2 linked regions of the Nothobranchius furzeri genome follow. The protein of the gene in region 2 purifies or fractionates together with the protein of the main gene of each other region. This does not show direct contact. Links are inferred from orthologs where the notes say so. Each region holds a gene or a part of one and is shown on either strand. Other genes may lie near its edges.

Region 1 (3,171 bases), on a different chromosome or scaffold from region 2:
CTAGCCCATTTACTGACCTGTAAACATTCTGTGCTCTCAGCATTTTTCTTCTTTGTCTGGGAGATGAATAGTTTTGTTACAGACTGCAGAGAAACAAAATAATGCTGCCTGGTTAGACGTATGATCAAGCCCCCGTTCCCCACAAGTAGATCAAAGATGTGTTTTTGTCAAGTCTTGCACTATATCTCAAAATGTTGTGGAACAAATTCAGACACATCAGAAAAAAGACTTTAGATCAACAGGACATCCTACTGTTAAGTGACCTTTGCTCAGATCTCCTTTGTTGTGAAGTATTGTTAGCTGTGTTTATTCAACAATTGGCTGTTTATTATAAAGTGTACCATTCTGCTCATTATTTCACCTAGTCTGACAGGAAAGATCGTGTCCTTTTAGCAAATCACTACTTTTTATTAACTTTGCAGTCTAAACACCCACAACACACATTTTATCAAACTATACATTTCTTTATTAGATAAACTTTTCTCAGGAAAACTGGAAAGTTATAACTGCTTGATTTATTCAGACAACACCTGTTAACTTCATTGAATAGAAACACACACCACCACCTAGTGGCCACCTTTGACAAGTTTATTTTAGACAAATTAGTGAAACAACAAAAACCCAGTTTCATAAGTAAAATTAAATATTATTTAAAAAACTCAATTAAATGACTAACTATATACACAAGAAAAACCATAGAAGTTGGACAAAAGGGAATAGAAAATTAAATTTCTCCTTTTAAAAATTATTACTACAGCAAGATATCATTGCTGACTAAGCATCGCACCGCATCCAAAAGCATGTCAGGAGTATGGCTAAATATGAAATTGGATGGACTGAGCATACATCACTTTAAGCATGTGACTTATGTTCAAAATAAGACAGATGGTGCTATTTTTACAGAGAGCCCCGAACACAGGCCAAAGATGTATTAAGTACAGAACAGGACAGCGCAGAAGTCACAGAAAAAAAAGTGCCAAAACAGATCAGAGCATGATCCCGATGAGTGTTTCAAACATTTGAGGTCTGTCTTCTGTCTTCAGTTTGTGCAGTTCTCAGAAGCCTGAAAGAATAACAATAAATATAGTTGTCCATCAATTAACAAGTTGACATTTTTAGCAAGTCTGCAAATGAATGTGTTCTTGGGAAACACTGAAGATGCTCCAAGCTCCAAACAGAACTCTAGCAACTTGCATAATAATAATATGCATAATAATTGTGTACCTTGAAAGACTCTGAAGCTCTCCGCAGCTCTTTGATGACTGCAGACAAGGCTTCAGGATTGATCCCTTGCTCACATAGTCTCACACATATGGACAGAGACTCCATGTCCAAACCAGTGTTCAACAACCTGGAGATCTCAAGCAAGACTGTTAAACGAGAACAATAATGAAACATGTTATTGCTGTGACAAGGTTAGAAGTTAGCTACAAAGCATGTGCGCTTTTACGTTTGTGAAGGTATTTTAAAACTACATGTTCTGCCACTTACGTGCCAAATAAACACTCACCATCCATTGTCTCCCGGACTGCGTTTAGGTTTGCATTTGCTGCACTTGCCATGGTGATAAAACGATGGTTAGCTAACGCTTCCTAGCAAGAGAAGTGGCTAACCAACAGCGTGTCTCTGACGTCACGAGTTAACAATAACTTGATTATAATAATAATGGCTAACGTATTTATATGTCACAGAACCCGATCATTAGAAACGGGCAAACAACATGTAAGCCACATTAGCACATATCTAACAACCTCACCAAAATTCTCACGTCGGTCAAAACTGGCAGCGGAAATAACGTTAAAATCGTCACTTCCTGCAACGTTTCTATTGGCTTGCGGGCCTAGGAGGAGAAATTGAAATTGATGTTTGAATTGTTTCTGTTTGTATGTTTTTCCCCGACCTGTTCCACATATTTCGATCAGAATTATTCGTGCATCTTCAAAGTTGTAAGTACAAATGGCGAGTGGACCGCTTCCTTTCTTTTAGCTAACGTACCGAACTTAACATCACATGAACGACAACAACTGTTGACTTGATCGATTTTCGCCTCGTTAATTCTGCATTTGAAGTGTTTTCTTTTTTATCTCGACTTTAGGCTAGATGGGGGACCACATTCAGCTCCAGATCACACCAGAAACTCCAGGCAGGTCTTCCATAAGGAACCCCTTCGAGAGTCCTAACGACTACCACCATCTGCGGGAACCCCTGGTTCCGAGTCCCTCTGTCTTCAAGTCAAAGACGTGCAAGGCTGTAAGTCTGAACACAAAACAGATCCACATTTATCAGGATGTCTGTGAAAAAATTTGAAATGTTCGTTAATTCTTCATAGTAGGCGTCCAAATGGAAAAAATAAGCAAACCTGTAACCTTTTACAATGGTTGTGATCAATCATTTGGAAGATGATCAACTTATTGTTGGGGTTATAATACAATTTTTATTATTTATTATAACTTATACAAAGTTAGGGGTGATTTTTTTTCATAGAAATTTTCGTAATCCTGAACATTTAACTTTACATAGACTTCATGTATTTCCTGTCTCTTCCGCAGACTCCCTCTAAGTTTAACTGGTCTATTGATGAAATGGCCAGTCTTCTCCCAGTGCACATAGACCCAGAGGAAATCCAGCGACAATCTCTCTACCTCAGCCAGACAAGGTGTGTGTTTGAAACTAAAATTCCTAAAGGAAGCACCGTTGACTGATGCAACTCAATCCATCGCACAATGACAGGGAAAAAGAAAGACTTTCAGAAATTAATTAATAAAACTCGGCTCTTCTTTATTTCAGGATTGATTCTGACATTGAGGAAAAATGTCAGAGTGCTATTGAGCAGGTATTGAATTAATCTAACTTATTCTGGTTTTGTAAACATAAATAAGCTTTTATTTTGATTATGTGTTGCTTGATTTCTTCCAATAAAGTTTTTCACAAAAGGAGCCATTGTGCCTTCCCCCTGGGCAGCACCGGAAACCCGCAGAGCCCCTCACCTGTACAATAAAAGTGTGTTATTTTATTGTTTATATTACTGTTTAAGTCTTAAATTTAGATTTACCTGGACTTTGCACATTTTAATCCGTGCTGGTTTATTTTATTCTGCTTTTGTCTTTTGACATTTAGGCCCAGGGTCTGCAACAATTTCAGAGGCGACAAAAACAGTCTCGGGTTGGTGTT
Region 2 (4,175 bases):
GTCTTAGCGGTTGTAGTCCTGTAGTCCAAAAATCAACACTTTTTGCAGAAAATATGTTTGAATTTCTAAAGGAAATGTAAAATATAAGCAAATGATAAACGGTGACCCTCAAGAGCTCTTGATGTTGATGAAATGGAGCAAAATAAAATATAAGAACTTTATTGAAAGACACCAAGCAATATTTTGAGTCAAAGAATGTATTTAGATAACAACTAAGGAAATATACATACGAACTCCACATTAATACAAACAGATATGGCAGATACAACAGATATAATACAGATAATACAAACAGATATAAGAACTGTTCTATTTTTTGTCGATGTTGGTTTTATGCAGTTTCACATTCTTTACAAAACAAAGATAATATGGTGTTTTATTAACAAATTACAATTATAAAGAAAGCATTTAGGTGTTAACAAACAAGAATTTATTAACAAAACTGCTGATGTCTTTCCAAAACGTATGTTTGAAAGCCAAGTAGATTTGCAGTAATGTGACGTCATCGGCAGTCAAAGGACCCCGAGCCGATCCAGCACCCGAGCAGATCCTGTACCGACACCGGCAGTAAGTCGGGCTCGTTCCCAGTGAGAGTTGGACTCCGCCAAGGCTGCCCTTTGTCACCGATTCTGTTCATAACCTTTATGGACAGAATTTCTAGGTGCAGCCAAGGTGAGGAGGGCATCCGTTTTGGTGGCCTGAGGATCAGATCTCTGCTTTTTGCAGATGATGTGGTCCTGTTGGCTTCATCAGAACGTGATCTTCAGCTTTCGCTGGAGCGGTTCGCAGCCGAGTGGGAAGCAGCTGGGATGAGAATCAGCTCCTCTAAATCTGAGACCATGGTCTTGATTCGAAAAAGGGTAGAATGCATTCTCCAGGTCAGGGATGAGGTCCTGCCCCAAGTGGAGGAGTTTAAGTATCTCGGGGTCTTGTTCACGAGTGAGGGAAAACTGGAGTGTGAGATCGATAGGCAGATTGGTGCTGCATCTGCAGTGATGCGGGCATTGTACCGGTCTGTCGTGGTGAAGAGAGAGCTGAGTCAGAAGGCGAAGCTCTCGATTTACCGGTCGATCTACGTTCCTACCCTCACCTATGGTCATGAGCTTTGTGTAGTGATCGAAAGAACGAGATCACGGATACAAGCGGCCGAAATGAGTTTTCTCAGAAGAGTGGCTGGGCCCTCCCTTAGAGATAGGGTGAGAAGTTCGGTCATTCGGGAGGGGCTCAGACCCGCTGCTCCTCCACATCGAGAGGAGCCAGTAGAGGTGCATCTGGCATCTGGTCAGGATGCCTCCTGGACGCCTCCCTGGTGAGGTTTCCCGGGCACGTCCAACCAGGAAAAGACCTAAAGGTAGACCCAGGACACGGTGGAGGGACTATGTCTCTCACCTGGCCAGGGAACACCTTGAGATTCCCCCAGAGGAGCTGGCCCAAGTGGCTGGGGAGAGGGAAGTCTGGGCCTCTCGCCTTAGGCTACTGCCTCCGCGACCCGACTCCGGATAAGCGGATGAAAATGGATGGATGGAACAAAACTTCATACCAGTGAATTAACCCTTATCCAAACAAACGGAATTTTCAAGCATTACCTCTTTATCCTCACAGAGTTTGGAGAGCAGATACACCAAAGGGTCGAGGTTGCGAACATTTTTGGATTTGAGCTCATCGTACTTCCTCAAGAAGTCTTCAGGGGTTTTGGAAAACTCAGCTAATTTCACCTGAAAATGATACAAAAGACCATTTGAAAGCAAAAGTCTGAGTTCATATGTGATAAAATTCCTCATCACTGCTCTACCTAACCTAAAGCCATTTTATGCACATGTGGTACAATTAGGAGATAAACCACTGTAGTGTTATTGTCAGCTGGTTACTGAAGGCTCTCGGTCGGTCTTGTTGAGTATAAACTTCTCCAAAGACATATGACCAATGAAAGAAGAGGTTAAAAATAACCTGCAAAAAAATTAGCTAGTTTAGTATTTTTGTAATTTTGTATTTTGACTAAATCCCATAAAGAAATGTGTATGACATTTGACAACTATAAGAGCTTGTTTACAAGAGCATAGAGATTTTATTTCAAGTTTATTTAAATGAAATTCAACAATCGTCTTCTAGAGTTGTAAATGTAAACACTGGGGCCCATTTTAGTGGAAATAAGATAAATCGGGTATTGAATATCAGCATTCTCTGAAATATGGATCATATTTTCCTTGTTTTCAGTTTCAGTACCAATTACTGTCAAAGTGATATCATTTACTGAGGTTCTTTTATCAAGGACTTTAACATGCCTGGTGTGTGTGTGTTCCCACCTTAGCACTATGAGCAGAGACTGTTGTGGTAACATAAGGAGTCCTGTGTTTCTGCAGTAAGTCGATGTACCCCTCTGCTCCATCACCTCCTCGCACCTGCAGCAGGCTGAGCAGCTCGTTCACGTCGTGGTGGATCCTGAATTCACTCATAGCTCAGACAGCAGCTCGCCTGGTGATTTTAGTTAAAGCAAATCAGAAATTAACTAAGACAACGTCTTAGCTCAATGGTGCCATTCAAACTGAAATTAGAGCCGCTGATTTGTACCAAAAATAATCCGAAAAAGCGTAGAATAATAAATACATCTCCACTTAACGATTTTAGACTTATTAGCTTGTTGTCGTGGCGATGAGAAACAAAAATGTCGCGTTTTAAAGGCTAGTTGCTAACTAGCTTACATGATGATGCTACATTGTGTGTAGCTTAGCCAAAAGGCAAATGTAACAACACAAGGTTTCTAACCTACATGAAAGGTGTAATCAAACTCTGCAGTCAGCGTAATATCTGGTGAACGTATCAAAAACAAAACAATAGCGCTGATAACAAACGCGCCCAACAACACTCAAATTGTTCTTCTTCGTTTGAGTATTCACACATCTGCGGCGCCACACTGCCCCCTATAGGTACACACTAGGTTGTTCTGTGAGTATTGGGCTGCATTAATAATATATTTAGTCTGGTTTGCCTGGCTAGTGCTGCATGGTTCAATAGAAAAAAACAATTACTGGAAACAGACACTACAGGGATTCATCAGTCGGACGGGAACAAGTTATTGGACTCAGACAGATCCAGTGAGCACCTTTTTAAAGACAATGTGCCAAAATGCAAAAAAAAAAATAATAAAGGCTACACGTCTACAGCACTATTAGACACTCAATTAAACAGTTAATCAGCAAAAAAAGGTTGATTTTGATGTGACAGATTCCTGTTTAAGGAGCAATCATGCAAGGACAAAAGCACACAAATACAGGGCAAGGACCTGTGCTAAAGTATCAGAGAGTTATTTTATTTATTTAGGAATCTCCTAACATCTTTATGCAGATGACATCCAACCATACATCTCCTTTAAGCCCCACAAGATGCTGACCCAGCTATCACCTTGGATTCTCATGTCAGTTGTCTTGCTCGTTCGTCCTTCTTCCATCTCAGGAACATTGCTAAGCTGAGTCCCATTCTGTCCCGCTCTGAACTTGAGACAGATCTCCACACCTTCATCTCCTCACGCTTAGACTACTGCAACTCTCTTTTCACATGTCTGAGCAAAACCTCCCTGAACCGTCTACAGGTGGTTCAGAATGCCTGTGCTCGTCTTCTGACCAAGTCCTCCAAACACACCCACATCACCCCGCTTCTCCTCCAGCTTCATTGGCTGCCAGTCAACTTCATTTTCAAGATCCTGGTTCTGGTCTTTATGGCCTTACATGGACAAGCACCATCATACATTGGTGATCTTCTCATTCCCTACACCCCCAGCAGGTCCCTGAGGTCCAGCGACCAAAGCCTACTGGTTGTGCAGCACACCAGACTGAAAACCAAAGGTGCCAGATCATTTTCTGCGGTGGTCCCCAGACTCTGGAACTCTCTCCCCCTGAACCTGAGATCAGTGGACTCAGTGGTCTCCCTTAAAAAGCAGCTGAAAACAGTCTTGTTCAAGCTGGCTTTTGCATGAAATTTGTCATCACCCTCTCCTTGTTCTGCTCTTATCCCGCCTTTCCTGGGATCCACTGATTTCCCGGAGGTGTCGATATGAGTATCTATGACCTTGAACAGTATCCTTAACTTATCCACAAGACAGCAATACGCCTGTGAAGACACAAGACTCTTTATCAAGTCCTTTTAATAAAATTATCTTTTGTGACTCAAAACATTACTTT

The links. Proteins that work in one complex are often made in the same cells at the same time.
Region 1: the proteins of tubgcp2 (region 2) and mzt1 purify together in Homo sapiens (affinity purification with mass spectrometry; 4 studies listed by BioGRID and IntAct, counting the BioPlex papers as one, with this or other methods). This does not show direct contact. The link is inferred for Nothobranchius furzeri from reciprocal best matches to the Homo sapiens genes TUBGCP2 and MZT1.

Annotation. Positions count from the first base shown.
Region 1 is NC_091752.1:31,536,035-31,539,205, forward strand, and holds mzt1 (mitotic-spindle organizing protein 1), read right to left. Parts: upstream 1,800-3,171; 5' UTR 1,563-1,799; coding exon 1,511-1,562; intron 1,371-1,510; coding exon 1,225-1,370; intron 1,064-1,224; coding exon 1,040-1,063; 3' UTR 575-1,039; downstream 1-574. Other genes in the region: bora (protein aurora borealis), read left to right, coding at 2,101-2,250, 2,550-2,656, 2,788-2,833, 2,922-3,000, 3,118-3,162. UniProt on the Homo sapiens protein: Required for the recruitment and the assembly of the gamma-tubulin ring complex (gTuRC) at the centrosome.
Region 2 is NC_091756.1:50,614,386-50,618,560, reverse strand, and holds the start of tubgcp2 (gamma-tubulin complex component 2), read right to left. Parts: upstream 2,905-4,175; 5' UTR 2,764-2,904; intron 2,473-2,763; 5' UTR 2,454-2,472; coding exon 2,304-2,453; intron 1,716-2,303; coding exon 1,587-1,715; intron 1-1,586. UniProt on the Homo sapiens protein: Component of the gamma-tubulin ring complex (gTuRC) which mediates microtubule nucleation.